Sus scrofa: one gene and its partners. The protein of the gene in region 2 purifies or fractionates together with the protein of the main gene of each other region. This does not show direct contact. Links are inferred from orthologs where the notes say so. Each region holds a gene or a part of one and is shown on either strand. Other genes may lie near its edges. The genes, in order: RHOC, ARHGDIA and EZR.

Region 1 (6,470 bases), on a different chromosome or scaffold from region 2:
TTTAGGTGGCTCTACCTGCATATCCCAAGCAAACCTTTATTGTAAGAAGCCAGCTCCCTGAGGGCAGAGATTTTCTGATTCATCTTTCTAGCCCCAACATCAAACAGTGGGCAATGGATAAGCTGCCAAGTGCCCTTGGACAGGTCACTTTGTCCTCTGACAGTTTCATCATATACTGGCTCAGACACTAGGGCCCGTTTGGTTCTCCCTCCCTCACCATGGTGTCGACACAGGGGGTAGGAAGTCACAGGGAGTCAACAGGAGAAGGCTTCTTTACCAGCCTGTCAGCCCTCACGGGGGTCCTTCCTCCTCTGCCTGGCAGCCACACTCACCTGCTTCATCTTGGCCAGCTCCCTCCGTGTGTGCTCATCTTGCCTCAGGTCCTTCTTATTTCCCACTAGGATGATGGGCACATTGGGGCAGAAGTGCTTCACTTCCGGGGTCCACTTCTCAGGGATGTTTTCTGTGCAGACACATCCCGACAGGGGTCAGTGCCCCCACTTAGGCTAGAGGGCTCCCCAGGGCCCCCTGTCTCCCCAAGGCAGCCCCTTTCACAGCTCAAAACCCCTCTCCCTCACAGCACACACCCTCCCAAGTCCTCTAAAGGCCATAGTAACCACAGGAGGAGGCCAAGGGGCTCCCCGGCACCTCCCCCCAGCCTCCGAAAAGGGTTCAAATGAACCAAGGCAGGAGCTCCCTCCCACTGGTGGATTCAAAGGGATTCTCAATCCCGTCCCTCCAACAAGCTCACCCAGACTGTCGGGGCTGTCAATGGAGAAGCACATGAGGATGACGTCAGTGTCCGGGTAGGAGAGAGGCCGCAGGCGATCATAGTCTTCCTGCCCTGCTGTGTCCCACAGGGCCAGCTCCACCTGACACACAGGGCCAGTGCTTCGCTAGCCTGAGGGCCCCAGGCACGCCCCAGGCACACCCCCGCACGCCCTGCCACCCAGGTGTCCTCTCTGAAATCCTGGTCCTTTAGGTTCACTGGGCACCTACTGAGCACCTACTACATGCAAGGGATAGTCCTCATCCCAGCCACACAACATAAGGTGAGTTCAACCCTGAGACAATGTGTTTGGTCTTTGTGCAGTGTGAACTGCCATTGTGAGCACCACTGTTTTATTTCATCTTCACTGAAACTCTTTGAAAGAGGCCCTACTGTTATTCCCATTTTATAGTTGGGGTGGGGTCAGGGCTCAAGCCCAGAGACCAAGGGACTGGGCCCAGGTTAGAGCGCATGTGTAAAGAACCAGGAGGCTGGATTTCCAGGGACGGCAGTTGCACTTCCTCACTTCACTGCTTTCAGCCGGGAGAGGGGAGCAAGGGTGTGGGTCGGGGGAGAGGAGGGCCATCCCAGGCTCCTAAGTGCTGGGGGCGGGGTGCCGAGGCGCGATGAGCAGAGGCTCCTGGCCTTTACCTGCTTGCCGTCCACCTCGATGTCTGCGATGTAGTTCTCAAAGACGGTGGGGACGTAGACCTCTGGGAACTGATCCTTGCTGAAGACGATGAGGAGACAGGTCTTCCCACAGGCCCCGTCCCCCACAATCACTAGCTTCTTTCGGATGGCAGCCATGGCTGGGGCTAGCAAAGAAGAGGCAGTGGGGATGTTGGGGAAAGCCACGAAGTCCAAAAACACGTCTCTAGGGCCCCCCAAGACCTCCCTGGAAACCACGGAAGGAAGGGAGGGAGAGGGGCTTTTTGCTCAGGCACCTTCTTGCCAAGAACCAATTGTTGAAGCAACTGAGCTTGAAATTCTTAATCTCAGGGTCAGAGACAGACCTGCCCCCATGGGTTAGAACACAGAAGTGGGAGGTGGAAGAACCACCCACTTGGGAGCCAGAAAACATGAGTTCTAATCTAATCCACTCACCAAGTGTGGGCCCCTGGACACCTAGACAGGTGTCTGAAGCAGCAGCTTTTATTTGCTCTACATAGCAGGGTATCAAGTCAGACTTATTTGTTACCAGGATCTTGATACTTTTCAAATTTAATTATCTCAAATGTCCAATCTAGAACACACTGTCCCTCACTCAGCACAGTCATGCGTGCCCAGAGAAAAACCAAGAGTCCCCACCAATATGGGTGGGTAGGGAAGGAATATTTACCACGCCCCTGGGTGCCAGGCACTATGGGGGGGCGCACTGACAAAAATCACCTCCCTCAGCCCCCAGAAGCCTGGAAGGTTGAAAGTGGGCTTCCCATTTTGACAAACTAGGAAAGTGTGGCTCAGAAGGTTTAAGACAATGTGTATGGAGCCGTGGCAGTGATGGCAGTCAAAGCAGGGCAGGAGACACTAGTCTGCTGCCTTCTCTACATATCACCCCAGAGGTGGGAAGGAGAGCAGACGGATGGAGGGCAGTGGCAGCAGCCAGCCGGTGTCCCTGGCCCACCCCATCCTGGTCCCCAGAGCCCCAAGGCACACAAAGGAGGCTCAGTCTGGGCAGTGCCCACAGCCCACATTCGGGCAGCCTGCCTTCCTCCCCCCTTCCTCCTGGGCCTGGCAGCAACACTGGGTCACTCAGCCCCAGGCAGGGGACAATGACCACACTGTAGGGAGCCACACATCTACCACAGCAGAGGGACTGAGAATAATCCACTAGGGAATCACCTCCACCCACTCCCTGGAACAGCCCCTTCCTCCCCTCTGTCCAGCTCACCCCAAGGCCCTGCCCACCCCTCCCTGTGACTCAGGGCAAGGAGTCAGCTTCCCGGGGTTTCCAGTGTCTCCCGCCCCCGACACACACCAAAGAGCATCTGCACAGTTCATCACACCTTCCTAGCTTCCCTGCCCCTGAGCTGAGCCTCACTTCCTCCTTCCCTGGGGAGAGGAGCCGACCTCCAGCCGGCTGGAGTTCCCAGGCTGAGGCCTGGGAGGAAGAGAGGGCGGGCTCTGGAGCTGAGATGAAGTCGAGGCTGCTGGGGGGGGCGGCTAGAGTCAGTGCTGGGAGGAGCCCCAAAAAAGAGACAAATGAGTCCCAGCACCAACCAGGCAGGGAGCAGTTAAGAAAGGAGGAGATGGTAACCCGATCTCTGCCCCAAACCTGGCTTTTTCTCTCAGTCCCACATCCTGTCGTTCTAGACTCAACTCCTTCACTCTCCCCACACCAGCATCACTTCACACCCCTGCCTTGGTCTGTCTTTTAAGAGGCGAATATCCCAGCCCAAGACAAGTTTTCTTCCACAGTGGGATCCTGGGTGGCCTCCCTCCCCTACACAAACACACACACACACACACACACAACTGGGATGAGGGGAAGTGGATATGAGTCAGAGGGAATTTATAGGAGTTGAGAGTGCACAGCCACTCTCCCCACCACAACAGGGGCTCCCCCTGACACCCCAAAAGACAAACAAGAAGGCATTCACCCTGCCAGCAGATCCCTTCCAAAAATGGAAACCATCCTTCAGAAAAGGGGGGAGTGTCCCTGGAAACTCTACCCAGGTGACCAAAACTCGCTTACCTGCTCCCACAAGTTCCATTGGTCCAGCGGTGGGAAAACAGGCTGGGGTGGCCCCAACCCGGGCAGGGCCCTGCTGATGGAGGGCTGGAGGGCATTCACCACTGGGGTGACTGCCAGTTGCTTAGGCATGAATGTGCCACTGCCCACCCCCAGCAGGACAGTTTAGGTGGCACCAGATGGTGGGGGGCAGAGGCCAGAACTCCGGGGCAAGAGCATGCATTAAATTACCTGGAGCCCCCAGCTCAATCATAAGACTTTCCCTTCAAGCTCAGTAGAGTAGTTGGCCCAGGCCACCAGGCCCAAGGCCAAGATGGCAAGGACAACAGCTCCCTGTGAGAGGCGGCCCCTGAAGAACTGCCCCACTGACCCTCAGAGAGGCAACCAAACCCCACACTGGACTGGAATGGAACCTGAACTCCTGGGGCCTTCCTTGGGACTAAACAGCTGCCCTCTCCTCCATCCTGTAGATTCCCAGATGAACCAGGGGCTGCAGTACCCTGCTGGCCACCCCTGAGGTCCAGGGAAGAAATCAGATACGTCCTCCTGAACGTGAAAACTAGAAGTGATGGCAGGACTCAGCCTTGGGGCCTCCAGCCCAAACCCCCAGGACACTCTCTAGCCGGGTTGGGAAGTGTGAAGGCGGGTGGGGGGGTTGGAAGGGAGGAGATTCTTGAACTCACACACACACGCACGAGCTGGATCCTTCCCAATCTCCCCTACCTCCCACTCCAGGCCGACTCCAGAAACCATCTAGGGCGACGGCCAGACCCCCGGAACAGTGGCCGCCCCCACGGTCACACCCAGCCCCTATTCCCGCCACTCCACCAGCCCGGCGAGGGGAATTCCCTCCTCCATCCGGACTCGGACCGGGACCCACACCCCAGCCCCGGTCCACAGCGGGCCGCCGGGCCTGGAAACTAGAGCGTCTGGCCTGGGGCTTCCTCGCAGAGACCCAAGTTGCCCCATTTCCCCTCGCCCGGCCGGGCAGGTTCCGGGAAGTCGGGAGGGGAAGGCAAGGGACTCCGGCTTGGACACCAAGAGACGACAGGCCCTGCGGGGCAATTCCCGGGGCGCCTCACGGCGGCCCAGGAGGGCAGGGAGGGGCCGAGCCCGGCCGACCCCCGCGCCGCCCAGGCGCCGCGTCCAAGGGGAGGGCAGGCGGCCCGTACTCGGGCCAAAGCCCCTCCTCCCCGGCCGGCGCCCCGAGCTCCGGCCAAGCGGAGAAGGGGGAAAGTGCTCTGCCGGGGACGAGTTCCCAGGACAACCCCGCCGCCCCCAGCCCTAACCCGAGGTACCTTCCGCTCCACCGCTCCCAGCTGCGCGGCCGGTGCCGGAGGCAGACTGACCCGAGGGGCACCGCCCCGCCCTCCTTCTTCGCCGCGGCGGGAGGGGCGACTCGCGGGAGGGGCGGGCCCGCAGGGGGAGGGGCGGGCCGGGCGGCCCTAGGCTCCGCCCGCCCCCCGCCCCCGCGGGTCGCTGAGCGCAGGCCGCGGGGGCCGGGGTGGGGGGGCGGTCCCGGGTGCCGGCCGGGGGCTCGGGAAAGAGGCCCAGGCTGTGGAGGCGTGGGCGGCGGGGCACAGCCGACGGGACCCTGAAGGACTCTGCCTCTGCCCCGCCTTCCAGCTCCTAGGGGAGAACCGGTATCGGGAAAGTTGAGAGGCGCTCGGGGTGGAGTCAGGAAAGGGCCGCTGCTGCCCTCCTGTGGCCAACTGGCCACCCGCGTCTACACCACCCGGGGCTTCGCGGGACTAGAAAGGAGTCTTTGGGGACGCCCGAGGAGAGGGCCGCGGAAGATGCCCACCCTCTGTTCCTAGAATCACTGCGGAGTAAGTACAGTCCACTATCATCCTCTAGCCTTGGAGACTTTTCAGAACCTTTGAGATTCAAGGCACCTGGTTCCACCTCCCAGTTCCCTTCGTTTCTCCCTGCCTGGAGTTTCCAACTCCTACCCATCCCTCAAAAGGCAGTCCTGGAAATCCTTCCGGATCCCCAGCTTTGAATTCAGTTCTCGCCCCCACTGTATTATTTCTGTGCTGTTAGGGACACCTAGCCGGGTTCGACTTGTGCACCGGGTGTTTACCAACAGGTGTATTTCCTTCCCTGAAAGGTGCCTGAGGAGGTGGGTGGAAGATGAGGAAGTCTACTCACATTTTATTAGCTTGGGATCGTACAATACATAGCTTTTAACATTCATCACAAATCTTCGGAATAAGTATATCCATCCCCTTTTGCCTGTAAGGAAACTGAGGCTCAAGGAAGTTAAGCGGCTTGCCCAAAATTTGCCATTTGTATGTGGCAGAGCAAGCACTTCCTGGTCAGCCCTGTCTGGCTCCAAGCTGGTCCCTCTCCCAGTTGCCTACTGTGATCCTCCAATCTATGCCTCTCCTGTCTGGCACAGTGTGTGGCACGTAAATAGGTTTTCAACAGATCTTTGCTGAATGAATCAATGAATGAATGAATGAATGTTAGAAGTCAAGCATACCTTAAAGATCTGAAAAGCAACTCATATATTTGCTAAATGAGGAAACTGAGGTCCAGAGCTGTGTGGTCCCCAGGCCTCTTAGCTGACTCAATAAATTGAGCTATGTGCTCAGTTGAGGTCGATTTCTGCCTTCAAAGAAGGTACAATCTAAATTCAGAATGCAGACAACTTAAAGATAGCTCATGGCTTTTGAACTCTTGTTACATGGACCTGGCTCCGCATACGTGAACTCCTTTCGTCATGCTCAGAGAGACGGCAGACCTAGTAATGGGTTTGGCACCAGGACCCAAACATCAGGACTCTCAAGCTCCTGCTCTTAACTGTTATTCTGTACCAGCTCCTTATAGAGACAGTTTTAGTACAGGAGGTAAGCACTGTAGTGGGGGCGTGTGTGGACTGTGGAAGGATAGGTGAAGTGTTCAGGATAAGGCGATGTGTAGATTTCAAACGAACTGCAGCTACTTCAGACCTGGAGAGTTATGGAACCCTCACGAGGGTGGGAGGGAGGGGGGAGACAGGACCAA
Region 2 (6,477 bases):
GACCTAGGCCACAGCCTGGAGCCAGGCCAGGCCTGTGTCAGGTTCTTAACCCAGAGCCACAACGGGAGCTCCTAGATGAGAAGTTTGATGGACAATGTGCCACTGGAAGAGAAGGAACAACTGGTAGACGCCCTCCCTGAGAGTAACTGTGACTCCTTAGAGACCTCTGAGCCGAGCGCCTCAAAGCCTTTGCTACGGGACCTGACTGCGCTGCTGGGAGCTGCTCCCGCTGTTCCAGACGGCGTGAGTCCCTGTCACAGAGAAGGCAGCTTCCTGCTCACGCTTGTCTGGAGACCTGTGGCCAGAGTGGAGCGGTTCGTAACCTCCTTCCCTGCTGTGGAATTGTGTGTTGGCTACACCTTCACCTGTCTCCACCCCTGAGACTCTCACCCGCTCTCACGCTTGGGCTCTGTGGCAAACTCTGCCCTTGAACCTGGCCTGGCTGAACTTGGGCTTGGGAGCAAGGAGCCTCAGAAGGCCTCTTGGAGCACTTGCTCGCGGAGTGCCGCTGCCAAAATGCCACGAGAGAGGGTGTGGAAGGCCCTCGGGCTGACAGCCTCTGGGTTTGCTTCACACTTGCTGCATGTGGAGAAAGGAGGGCACAGATCAAACAAGACGGGCCACAAGCTGGTACCTGCAGAAGTGGGTGGCAGGTCCACTGGGCTTCTTAACCCCATTCTTACTACCTCGCGTGGGGGCTGCCCCCTTGTTCTGGTGCCCCTGTGGGCGCCCATCACATTGTACCAGACACGGTCTGTGTCGCCAGCAGGAGAGGCAGCAGTGGCGGCACGTCTGACACGACGCTGTGAGGGACACTAAGGCTGTGTCTTGAGCTTACTCTTGTTCTGAGGCCTCACTCGGGAGGGAGGCCGAAGGAAGCAGGGAACTGAATCCTCCTCCCCAAAGGGAGGACCCGAGCCTCCTGCCCACAGCGCAGGCATGAGCTTGAATTCCTGCAGATGTCCAAAGACCAAGTCCCTGGTTCCCAGCTTGACCACAGCCTCATACAAAACCCAAAGCCACAACTACCCTGCAGAGGGGCTCCCTGATCCTTGGACACTATGCAAAATAATAAAATTGGTCGTTTCAAGTGGCTAAATTTCATGGCCTGCTTTTACACAGCAACAGACGATGTATGTAAGAGCCTGGTATTTTTTTAAAAAGCACTTGGGGGAGTTCCCGGTGTGGGACCCAGCGAAAACAAATCCGACTAGGAACCATGAGGTTTTGGGTTCGATCCCTGGTCTCACTCAGGGGGATCCGGAGTTGCCCTGACCTGTGGTGTAGGTTGCAGACTAGGCTTGGATCCCGTGTTGCTGTGGCTGTGGTGTAGGCCAGCAGCTGTAGCTCTGATGTGACCCGCAGCCTGGGAACCTCCATATGCCACGGCTGCGGCCCTAAAAAAAGCGAGAGAAAAAAAAAAAAAAAAGAATAAATAGGAGTTCCCCTCGTGGCACAGTGGTTAACGAATCCGACTAGGAACCATGAGGTTGCGAGTTCGGTCCCTGCCCTCGCTCAGCGGGTTAAGGATCCGGCGTTGCCGTGAGCTGTGGTGTAGGTTGCAGACACGGCTGGGATCCTGCGTTGCTGTGGCTCTGGCATAGGCCGGTGGCTACAGCTCCAATTCAACCCCTAGCCTGGGAACCTCCATATGCCGCGGGAGCGGCCCAAAGAAATAGCAAAAAGACAAAAAAAAGACAAAAAAAAAAAAAAAAAAGAATAAATAAAGTAAAAGGCACTTGGGTTACTGGAAAGCAGTTTGGCAGCGAGGCAGGACGCCCGGCTCTGGCGTTGCAGCTTCCAGTAACAGGACGCCTGCGAAGCACATCCCAGGAACCAACCAGCTTGGAATGCTCTGCCTTTGGCCAGCTCAACTTTCTACACAGAAAGCTGACAGTATTCCCCAAACTGGCGCAAGTTGAGACATTTCCAAAAATACTAAGATCAGTATTTCGCAGTTCTATCGCTTCTACCGCCTAACAAGCCGATGCGCCATCCAGGTGAGCGTACGTGACCGCGCCGTGGAGCGGAGGGCTTGGACCCCACGCGGAGAGACGAGCGCTGGGGGCCCTCGGCAGCGCGGGCTCCATCCCGCCGGCCACAAATCACGCGCGCCCCCAGCCCCGGCGCTCCGGGTGGAGACCCCGGGGGACGGTGGCGGCTGAGCCAGGGGCTTCCGGAGTCACGAGCGGCACAGAGCCGCTCCCGATGCTGAGTTTCTCTTCGTGAAGGAGCGCTCCCGGCAGGGCGGCCAAACGCTGACGGGTCTGGAAAGGAAGGAAAGGCAGGGACGGCGCGCTGGTTTCGGGGACGGGGGCTGCCCGACTAGCGCGTCCCCGCGGTGTGACGGCTGCGTGCCCGAGAGACACGCCTGCGCCTCGCGTGCCACGCCCACCGTCCGCGAGCCACTGCCTCGCCCCTTTAGCTTGCGGGTTGACCCGCGGGGACGCCCCGGACCAGGAAACGCAGGTGCCAAAGGGCGCAGAACCCCAACCCTACCGGCCTCCACAGGGCTCCCCGCTCGCTGCCCACGCGGGACGCGCCCACAAGCCGGGATCTCAAGATGGCCGCGGCGCGCTCCCAGCAGCCCCCGCGCACGCATGCGCTCTCCGGAGCCCGCCCGGCGCGAGCGGAAGTCGCGTGATCCCGGAAGTGGCCGGCCGGGCGCGCGCGGGTGGGGCGGCGACGTTCGTCATTCCGTGCGGGAGGGAGCGCGAGAGCGGCGCGGTCGAGGCTCCGGTGAGCGCGGGCGGCGGGGCCGGCTGGTGCGGTGGGCTAGCGGGCGGGGCAGCCGCGGAGGGGGAGGCGGGGGGCCGCGCCTTTGTTCCCGCCGCCCGCCCCGCCCGCCCCGCCCTCCTGCCTGCCCACCCGAAGGGTCTGCGCTGGGCGGGGGCGGCGGTGACAGCGGGCGGCGGCCGGGGCGCCGGGGCAGCCCACGTGCGAATCGGGGACGCCGGAGGAGGGAGGCGGCGGCGAGGGAGCTGGAAGGCGAGAGGTGGGGGCGTAGGGGCCGGGGGCGGGAGCTGGGGATGCACAGAGGTGCAGGCCTCTTTTGTGGTCGCAGCTCGTGCTCAGCGGCTCCCTCCTCGCCGGTGCACGCCAGCCTGCTCCGGCCGGACGCCCACTCGCCTGAGCCGTGTGGCCCCCGCGCCCCACCCCGCGCGCCTGCCGCGCCCTGTCCAGATTGCGGGCCCTGCAGGAAGTGCGCGCCGCGCGATCGCACTTAGAGGATCCTGTCGCCTGCGGCCGCGCTTGAGTGGCGTTAGGGCGTGAGCTTTCTAGAGGAATTCCAGAGGAAGCGACTAGGAGGTCTGGAAATACGGGCCGGGCCCCACCCTGCCTTCGGCGGCCGGGTGGTTCCGGGTCCCCCGCGGCCCTTTGTGAGATCTTGTCCGCGCGCACATCCCGGCTTTGGCTGTCTTTACGGACAACGGCGGCCCTGACCCACCTCCCACACCACCGAGTCGGGTCCGAGCGGGTTTCAGATACTGCTCGGGGATTCCGGGGGGGGTATGCGATGGTCATTCTTAGTGAAAGAAGACCAGTGGCTGCCCTATGCACTGCTCCTCTCTTTGATGGCACTGCTGCGAGCTCTTCTGGGCGAGGATCCCGAAGGGGGCTCCTGAAATTCCCACACGTCTAGAGCAGTTTCCAAATTCTAGGTCTCTGAACCCTCACAGCTGGAGATAAGGTTGGCAGACATTTAGGGTCCCTCGTCCATTTCAGGATTTATCTGTGCGACTCAGGCTAGCCCTGTCATCTGAGCCTTAGGAGAGCCTTGTGTTTGTAGGGTGAGAAAGAACTAACTTGTAGCCTGCACAGACATTTAGGACAGGCCTGAAGGAACAGACCGATCAGCAATAGTCAGTAGGAGGGATCTCTTGAGGTGAGCCCCTGGGCGATTCAGGACAAGCAGCAGGACTTGGTCCTGACCCTGCTAGGTAGGTCTGGGGTGCTGCTGCTTCCTGGAAGCAGGGGAGCTGTCCCTGGTCTTTGCAAGGGGCAGGCTGGGGCCTCTCTAGCCCTGGATACTGTGGACCTGGAATTGGGTCCCCTGAGGTGGGCAGGATGAGGAGGTGAAGGTGGCCCTTCTGGGCCTCGGGAGACTGTTTCCGGGCCCTTTTCGACGTTCTGGCTGTCATGGCCTTCCTGTTACAGAGGATGCGCCTGCTCTTGGGCCCACATGGAGGCTTGGCCACCTGTGGAGGAAGATCCAACACTGATCACCAGTGGGACCTGCAGAAGGGCTAGAAGGGGCGACGCTGGGTTCCTCCAGGCTGCCACAGCCCATGCCACCCTGCCCACAGGTGTCCCAGACCCCGCTAGAAGAGAGCATGGCTGAGCAGGAGCCCACCGCCGAGCAGCTGGCACAGATTGCAGCTGAGAACGAGGAGGACGAGCACTCGGTCAACTACAAGCCCCCGGCCCAGAAGAGCATCCAGGAGATCCAGGAGCTGGACAAGGACGACGAGAGTTTGCGCAAGTACAAGGAGGCCCTGTTGGGCCGCGTGGCCGTGTCTGCTGGTGAGTGGACAGGAGCGCGGGTACCCGTGGCTTTCCTGGGTGTCTGCCGCTATTTACCCCCCCCCCCCCCCCCCCGCAGAATTCTAACTTGCGATCACTTTGCAGACCCCAACGTCCCCAATGTCGTGGTGACCCGCCTGACCCTGGTGTGTAGCACTGCCCCAGGGCCTCTAGAGCTGGACCTGACAGGTGAGTGGCCTCTCCGAGGTTCCTGGCTGGGGCCGCAGCGGTCGGCTGCTTCCGCTAAAAATAGTTTCTCGGGCTGCTGGCGCCCTCTGCTGGGGAGCACAAGAAGTGCAGCCGAGTCCTCTTACAGGGGTTGTGGCTTTTCCAGTCTTGCGTCTGGGGTGCCCAGGATGGTGGGAGGTGACTTCCTTTGGGTGAACTTCCTAGCATGGTCTTTCTCTCAAATTCAGGAGATCTGGAGAGTTTCAAGAAGCAATCCTTTGTGCTGAAGGAGGGTGTGGAATACCGGATAAAGATCTCTTTCCGGGTAAGGCGCCGGCGTCGGGGAGGTGCGGGGCCTGGGTGGGAAAGCCTCGCTGAGCCCTGCTCGGGGTGCCTCCCTGCAGGTGAACCGAGAGATCGTGTCGGGCATGAAGTACATCCAGCACACGTACAGGAAGGGGGTCAAGAGTGAGTGAGCGGGGCCCCCAGCCCCCAGGAGGGAGGGAGACCCGGGGGGTGGGGAGCAGAGCTGCCTCCTGACGGCTGTGTTCCCTGCATCGCAGTCGACAAGACCGATTACATGGTGGGGAGCTACGGGCCCCGGGCGGAGGAGTATGAGTTCCTGACGCCCATGGAGGAGGCGCCCAAGGGCATGCTGGCTCGAGGCAGCTACAGCATCAAGTCGCGCTTCACAGACGACGACAGGACCGACCACCTGTCCTGGGAGTGGAACCTCACCATCAAGAAGGAGTGGAAGGACTGAGCTGCGGCCGGAGGGAGGCGGGCAGGGCGGCCGAGGTCGAGGACGTGCCCCCCCACCCCCCCCATCCCCCGGACCCCAGACCAAAGTGCCGCCAGGGCCACCCACACTGCCGCCTCTCCCCGTCTGCCTCCTGGCCGCCCGCCCCTCCACCCTTCCAGCCCGCAGACCCAGCCGCCTCGGTGGTCTAGTGTCGTTGCTGCTTCCGCCTGTGCTGGGGGGGGTGGGCTCCTCCCAGGCCTTGTCTCCCCTTCGGTGTCCTCGAAGTCCCCACCTTCCTGACCCGACCCGAGGCCCTGGCTTCCCCCAGGAGAGTCGGGCATCGCGTGGGAGCTCTGGGTGCCCGGGTCCCTGGGCCTCCAGTCGCCCTGGCTCCCACCGTGGCCCCCTTCCCGGCGGGGGCGGGCTGTACCGCGTAGGGCCTGGCGGGGCCGGTTGTCCTCCCGCTTTCACTTCTCCCCGGTCAGTCCATCCACCGCTGTCAGTGACCGTCTAACCATGATGCCTTAACATGTGAACGCGTGCTGGGGGGGCGGCCCTAACCTCTAACCCCGTGTCTGCATGAGCATGTGGTCTCCCCCGGTCCCTGCCCTGTCCGCGCTCCCTGTGGCCCGGGGAGGTGTGTGGGGTGTGCTGCTCCCCAGTCTGCCCGGGCCTGGCCGGCCCCCTTCCCCGGCCAGCGCTGTGGGACGGCTCCTGGGGCTCGGGAAAGCCAAATTGCCAAAACTCCAGTGGCTTCCACTCCCATCTGGGAGGCTGGGTGTCCTCCCGCCTCTGCCTTCTCTGGCCCGTGGGCAGTGCCTGGAGCCCAGGCCCCGGCAGAGGGCCCTTGGCCGACGGAGCCAGTGGCCAAGCCTTACTTGTCCCACCTGGGCCTGCCGGCCTCGAGTCGCCTGCCTGGCCTGTCAGTATTTCTTGCCTCCATACGTGCCGTCCTCTGGGCCCACTGGCCTGCCGCCTTGCCCCCAGGCTTGGTGCCACCATCCCCAGCCAGGCCCTTCCTGGACCCAGCCAGGACAACTGTG
Region 3 (6,602 bases), on a different chromosome or scaffold from region 2:
GCTGCACACCAGGGAACTTCCATGAAAAGCGTGAGAGACCTTGGCCGTGAGCACACCTTTCACCCCAAGCTTGCCTGCAGCCGTCTCTCCTTTCTGTCACTGTGAGGAGCGAGGGCCGGGAAGGAGCCCACGGTCACCCTCGGCTGAACCCGCGCACAAGCGCTGAGGCCGGGGCACAAACCCCACGGCCCTCCCCAGAAGAGGGGGACCCGCCAGGCCAGCCTCGCAGAGGGTGGGGTGCCATCGTCCGTGGGCGTCTCCCGGTCAGACAGGGGTGGAGCCCAAAGCAGCTGTAGGAAAAGCAAAACCAGACGGTGGACCCCAGCGCGGGAGCATCTGGCGGGGCCTCGAGCAGGACTCGCAGCGAGTCCGCCCATCTCCGCAAGCAGGTGCTTTTCCTCTCAGCTGCAGCACGTTTTATACCGAAGGCTCGTTCCCTCTTGGACGGCTCTCAGCGAGTTTCCGGCTCCTATTCCAGCTTTTGCCTGTGTCTGGGCTTGGGGCCCAGGCTGTAAGCTCCTGCAGGACAAGGTCTGTCGCACCCGTCTGGTCTGTGTCGTTCCCTGCACCTGTGCCTGCAGCTGGGAACAGAGGCTCACTGCACAGACACGCAATCTTTTTACCAAGTGGTGCTCAGAGAAGCAGTGTTAAGAGAAAAAGCAGCAAATGAATATTATTTCATTTAAACTGCTTTGCGAATAGAGTTGTCCTGACTCAGTCTAGACATGCCCGTCGGAAATCCGTTGCCTGCAGAACTCAAGCAACCAGGAGGCGGCCCAAACCCTGCCTGTGCCTCAGTCGGGCATTGAACATCACAGGAAACCACCTAACAAAACTCAGTTTCGGCTTGAACGGCAGCAATCAATAACGCTTTGTTCAAAGGACACAGGTCCAGAGCTCGTTGGTGATGCTTCAGCATCAACATCTAGAGAGGGAGCAAACCACCATCCCAAGAACGAGACTCTCTCCAACAGCCCTGGAAGTTCTCGCGCCTCCGCTGGTAAAGGCTCCTCTCTGCTGTGGGGTGGCCCTCATTCGGTTCACGTGGAGAAAGACTTAAGTCTATTCATTTTTTTGAGGCAAACTCTTCAAGCCCTCCCCCACCAGGTGGAAATTTCCATGGTAAACAGCTGTGGCTTACAGAAAAGACGACCTCCCATTACCACTTGGAAATCAACTGTAAATGTTACATAAAGTATCTTTCAAAACCTCACTCTGGTTGTTGGGACCTTAACATACCAGAATGTCACAAGGGAAGGATGGCTACTGCCCTTCCTTAGCAGTTCAACAGCTGTCTTTGCTTTGGCAGGAGAGTATTTTCTAAGTTTCTGATCCATCGTGAAAGACCATTAAAGCCAAATGAAAACATGCCTGCCCTAAGAAATAAAAAGACCCTTAAAAAAGGACATTCTGACACAGAGTACAACATGGATCAACCAGGAGGACACCGTGCTAAGCGAAAGGAACCAGTCACAAAAGGACACATACGAGTGATCTTAGGTACAGGAGGGACCTGGAGGAGACAGGAGACACCAAGTGGAGGGGTGGTGGCCAGGAGCTGGAGGGAGGGGGAAATGGGAAGTCAGCTTTTGAGGTGCAGTCTGGGGAGATGAAAAGGTTCGGGAGGCGGGGGTGGTGATGGACATACAACTGGAACGTACACACAACTGAACCGTACACTTGAGAATAATTAAGATGGGAAGCTGTGTGTTATGTAAATTGTACTACCAAAAAAAATTAGTGAGAGAATACAAGAAATCACAGAAATAAAAAAGTAGTGACAGGAAATAGGTTTACTGACTCTTTTCTGAGCGGTATTTTAAAAGCTGAACTTTGCATCTTTTCTTCCAGTGAAATAAAGAAAACCACACCACACCAGGAAAGGTAATCTCTGACCACGGCTCTGCAGAACACCGCCCAGGGCTGTGCCCCGAGCAAGGCCTTGTGTTTAGATCTATTTTATGTCACTGGAATTGGAATTATGTCCTTTGGGCTGCCTGCAAATTTGTTCAGAAAAGAAGAATCCTGTGTAGGAAAAAATTTTTCTGCATCATAAATGAATCATCTTGGTGATGTAACTTAGGCAAAAACCCTACTGGTTTCTGAATCTTCTGGCATGTTACTGCAGTAATTTACTTAACCTAACAGTAAGTAAGACTCGATTAATAGAGAACTCCTTTTCAGTCTAAAACTTAATGACAGAAAAACACAATAAGCACTGACTACAGAACCAACCTGTTTGTGGGACTGGAAATAAATTCCATAGGTACCTTTTACTGCCATTTTCAATGAATCCAGATATTCTCTCCATGATTCAAAACTCAAAAACTTTCTCCCCAACATCGAGTCACCAATTCACCTGTGTTAAAGCTGGTAGAATATAACTTTCTAAGAAATGCTGGTTATGAAGAAAACCTGTTTTATTCCCATAACTTAAACAGAAGCCATAAAACCCCAGCCTGCCAGCCATCTACCCGAGAAGGCAAGGTAATCAGATTCAAGGGGACAGCGGTGAGGGGAGCAGCACCCCAGTCAGCTGATGTTTATGATGTGGGCCAGGAGTGCAGGACTGGAGAGGCCAGCAGCCTCCTTATCAAAGGAACTCCAGGGCTGCCTAACTCCATCTGCAATTCAAGTTCATTACTAAACCTCTTTCAGAGATAGGAATCCTGCTGCCACCAGCAAATTCCCGAGTTAACAGAGCACAGCTTCACGGGCCGGTCGTAAAATGGACTGGAACGAAGCTGCCCCCAGAAAGACCGCGTCTTCTCTGCCAGATGCCCTTCAAAGCGCCAAAGAGCCGGTGCATCTGTTTCCAGACACTTGAAGGGACTCGGAATTGGCGCGCTCCGTCGGAAGCCACCTGACTCTCCCTGGGATTTAGACAAGTTTTCAAGAAACTTCCAAGTTGCATTAGAATGCTGTTTTTAAACAAAGCCGCAAAGGGGATTCCAATTTTTACGGGTCGGGGTGTCGCAAACAAAAAGACGGTGGAGAAACGGATCATAATCTTGTTTTCGCCAAGCATTTCACAAAGGACCAACACATGAAAAGAGAGGACACAACTCCCCACCCCCGCCTTCTCATCCGTTTAGCAAAGAACCCTATTCTACAAAAAACTGCCCCCAAACCTCGCCCGGCTAATTCTACTTGAAAATAAAGCCCGAAGCATCCGACCCAGCCCAGAAACTGGGTTACGTACTGGTTTCGGCATTTTCGGTTCCTGATGGGTTTTCCGCAATCCCTGGAAACACAATCTCCAGCAGCAGCTGAAACGGTTCTCCCGACCTGCAGGCAGAGGAAACCCCCTTTAGAGCAGAGCCGCCCGCCTCCTGCTCCCGCCGCCGCGCCCGGGACTCGGCGCCCGCCCCGCGCTGCTGCTTAAGAACCGGCCGGGCGGGCGCCGGGATGAGTCACCGCCCAACCTGCAATTACCACGGGCCGGGCGGGCGGGACTTGCGCGGAGGGGGAGGGCGGGGGGCGACGGGGGGGAGGGGAGGAGGAGAGGGGAGGGGGGAGAGAGGAGGGGGGGAAAGGAGGGGAGGGGGGGAAGAGGGGGGGAGAGGGGAGGGGGCGACTGGGGGGGAGGGGGGCGACTGGGGGGGAGGGGAGGGCGGGGGGGGCGACTGGGGGGAGGGGAGGGCGGGGGGTGCGGCGGGGAGGGGCCGCAGGAACCCGCGGCGAGGGAGCCGGGGCGGGGGGCGGCCGAGGGACTCCTCCCGGCCTCCAGGAAGCCAGCGGGGAGCCCAGGAGACCGACAGCAAGTTTCACTTCGTGAAGCAACCGTTTGCTCCAGGGCTGAAACCGCAACCTTCAAGCCTTTGAGAAACATTTTTTAAAAACTGTCCCCGCCCGGGAACGGCGAGGGCCGCCCGGGCCGGCAAGCGGCGCAGCCCGGGCTCCGCGGGCACTTTGGGAGAGGGACCCGAAGGGGCAAAGTGTAAAGAGGAAGGTCGCGGAGCAGCCGGGGCGGCCACGCGGGCAGGTGAAGCTTCACCTGCTGGGTATCTGGGCCGCAGAGGAAGCGCGCGCTCAGGACCCTGCCCGTTCGAGAGCCCAGGACGCCGAGCCCGGCTGGTGGCCGGGCGGGCATGGCTCCCCTCGCGGACCACCAGCCCGGGGCTCGCGCGCCGGCCGCCCCTCCCCGGACGCGGCCGCCACACCTGCGTGGAGTTCCAGCCACTGACCCCTCCCGGGGAGGGCGAGCCGCCCGCCCGCCAACCCCCGGCCGCACGCCCCGCTCACCCGCGGCTCCTGCAGAGGACCGCTGCGCTCCCGCCGCCTGTGCGCCGTGCAGTGCGCCCGCGGCCGCGCTCCCGAGAGTCCCTGGCGGGGCGGGGTCCCGGGGCCGCGCCCCTGACGGCCCCGCCCTCCCGACCTGCGAGGTGCGCCTCGCGCGCAAGATGGCCGCGGCCGCCGCCCGCCGCCGCCCCCGCCCCTCGCCCCGCCCGCCGCCCCGGGGGCCCCCGAGACGCGGCGAGGGGCGCCTCCGCCTCCCACCCGCCCGGCTGCCTCTGGGCCTCGAGAGACCTTCCCCCTCTCCCTGCCGGTCCCCTGGCGCTTGGAGAAGAACTTTGCCGAATCTGACTCAGCTCCTGGGGGTAGATGTAAAGTGTGAGCTTGTTCCGTAAAGGACCGAGGGAGGCCGGGAAAATGTAAATAAGCCTGGAGGAGCCCACGGCCACCGGCGAGGTGCTGGGCCTTTTGGAGTGGGGCTGCCTCCGTGGTCAGGTCATTTTGCTGTCCTTGCGCCGGGACCTAAGAGGGATTCTGAGAAACTGGGACCTAGCCGCTGTGTCCCCGCGCACGTGGCCGCCCCCACTCTGGGATTCGGTGGAGGACACAACCATTGTAGGGTCTGGTCAATGGACACATTTGTGGCCTGGTTTGATTTGACTAGTACAAGCTTATGGGGGAAAAAAAATCTCCATAGGGAAAAATTCTAGGAATTATTTCAACTATTTTTTTTGCAAATGGTTCTCAAGAGGACATAGTTACACACGCACACGCACTTTGGTGGCCAACAGGATTTGTTGCTCAGGGATTAAGCAGGCTGCCTCTAGAGCAGTGGTTTTCAAAGCACGCTTCCCAGACTAGTAGTTAAGTAACAGCTTCACCTGGGAACTTGCAAAATGGAAATTCACAGGTACTGCCCCGAAACCTCCGGAATCAGAAACTCTAGGGCTGGGGCCCAGCGGGTCGGAAAAACTTCAGGCCTCCAGGTGTTTGCGTTGCAGGCTAAAGGCTGAGACCAGGGACTGTCCTGAATTGCTTTCCTGGGCTCACCACTAACTCCGTTTGAGTTGAGTGAGTTCTTTAACTCCTTGATGAGTTAGAGTTATTTAACACTTTCACATCTGTAAAATGGCATCATTACGGCACCTATTTCATAGGCTTGTTTTGAGGATTAAAGGAGTTAATACCTACCTATACAATGCCTAGAACAGTGCCTGGCGCATGGTAAGCCCTCACATCAATCCTGGGACAGAGATTAACGAGTCCCTTTGGGCAAAGCACCAAACTCGAAGACTCGTTTTCCAATTTGTAGACTAGAGATAAAACAGCAGCCCCGAAACGGACTTGTAGGGATTAAATGAGATAATACATGCAAAGTGTTTAGCACAGTTTTGGCCCCTAGTAATAGCTAACCTGTCCCAGGGTTCTGAGGTACTCCTTGTCACCTCTGACCACCCCCCTTCCTCCTACAGGTCCGGGGTCTTTCAGAAGTCGGGGGGGGGGGTGGAGTAGGGAAGCCTCTTGGAGACGGAGATTTGGTGGCACACTATTTGGGCAAGTCTGCTTCTCCTGAAAAACTGACTTTCTTTTTGAAAATGAAAAGGTAAAGGGAACTGCATTAGGAAGGAAGCTATGAAAGATAGTTAACCCACGATCAAAAAGGCCCAGGTTGGACATGTCATTCGTAACGCACTCTATCTCCTCTTCTTATCGCTGCCTGGAGTCTTGTTAGCCATTTTGGGTCCCCAACTCGGCAGCGGGATATGCCACTAATCTAATTTTTTTTTAATCTCGCCTAGTTTATAGTATATAAGCTTAACTGAGTGTTGGAAATAGCAGTAGCCCAGGACTTCTGGAGCATTTCTGCACTTTACCCTTCAGGGGCATGCTGCAAAATGAAATGGCCTGTGGCAATGCCATAAAAATGAAAAGATCGCAGGTTTCAGAAGCACACAGAGCTAGATCTGAATCCTAGTTCCAGTGCTTACAAGCTGGTTACTTTGAGCAAGTCTCTTAATTCCACTGAGCTCCCACCTCCCCGTCCGCAGAACAGAGATAATAATAGACATATCATGGTGTTCTGGTGTCACAGAACCATATAATGTGAGTTCTCAACTTACTCAAATGCAACTTCTAGGTCTGCTTTTCTTGCATAAGTTTACATAGTAGTCATTTAAAATATGCATTCCTCATGTCTTACGTTCCTGAAAGCATTACACCTTATACTACGTGCTACTATGTAGGTTTTTATTCCCTCGCAAAAACATTTATACTGTACGAGTGTTTTAAAAGGATTTGCCAAGGGTAATTTATTTTCCCCTGACCTTAGAATCTAAGCCTCTCCCAACTGCTGTCCTCCCAACACA

Evidence for each region.
Region 1: the proteins of ARHGDIA (region 2) and RHOC purify together in Homo sapiens (affinity purification with mass spectrometry; 4 studies listed by BioGRID and IntAct, with this or other methods). This does not show direct contact. The link is inferred for Sus scrofa from reciprocal best matches to the Homo sapiens genes ARHGDIA and RHOC.
Region 3: the proteins of ARHGDIA (region 2) and EZR purify together in Homo sapiens (co-purification; 3 studies listed by BioGRID and IntAct, with this or other methods). This does not show direct contact. The link is inferred for Sus scrofa from reciprocal best matches to the Homo sapiens genes ARHGDIA and EZR.

What each region holds. Positions count from the first base shown.
Region 1 is NC_010446.5:107,730,144-107,736,613, reverse strand, and holds the start of RHOC (rho-related GTP-binding protein RhoC), read right to left. Parts: upstream 3,713-6,470; 5' UTR 3,484-3,712; coding exon 3,465-3,483; intron 1,585-3,464; coding exon 1,421-1,584; intron 873-1,420; coding exon 752-872; intron 464-751; coding exon 333-463; intron 1-332. UniProt on the Homo sapiens protein: Regulates a signal transduction pathway linking plasma membrane receptors to the assembly of focal adhesions and actin stress fibers.
Region 2 is NC_010454.4:1,110,703-1,117,179, forward strand, and holds the start of ARHGDIA (rho GDP-dissociation inhibitor 1), read left to right. Parts: upstream 1-2,692; 5' UTR 2,693-2,739; intron 2,740-2,971; exon of another isoform or gene 2,972-2,995; intron 2,996-3,069; exon of another isoform or gene 3,070-3,309; intron 3,310-4,158; exon of another isoform or gene 4,159-4,289; coding exon of another isoform or gene 4,290-4,334; coding exon 4,335-4,524; intron 4,525-4,629; coding exon 4,630-4,713; intron 4,714-4,940; coding exon 4,941-5,017; intron 5,018-5,096; coding exon 5,097-5,160; intron 5,161-5,255; coding exon 5,256-5,455; 3' UTR 5,456-6,477. UniProt on the Homo sapiens protein: Controls Rho proteins homeostasis. Regulates the GDP/GTP exchange reaction of the Rho proteins by inhibiting the dissociation of GDP from them, and the subsequent binding of GTP to them.
Region 3 is NC_010443.5:8,401,173-8,407,774, reverse strand, and holds the start of EZR (ezrin), read right to left. Parts: upstream 4,414-6,602; 5' UTR 4,246-4,413; intron 3,289-4,245; 5' UTR 3,215-3,288; coding exon 3,203-3,214; intron 1-3,202. UniProt on the Homo sapiens protein: Probably involved in connections of major cytoskeletal structures to the plasma membrane. In epithelial cells, required for the formation of microvilli and membrane ruffles on the apical pole. Along with PLEKHG6, required for normal macropinocytosis.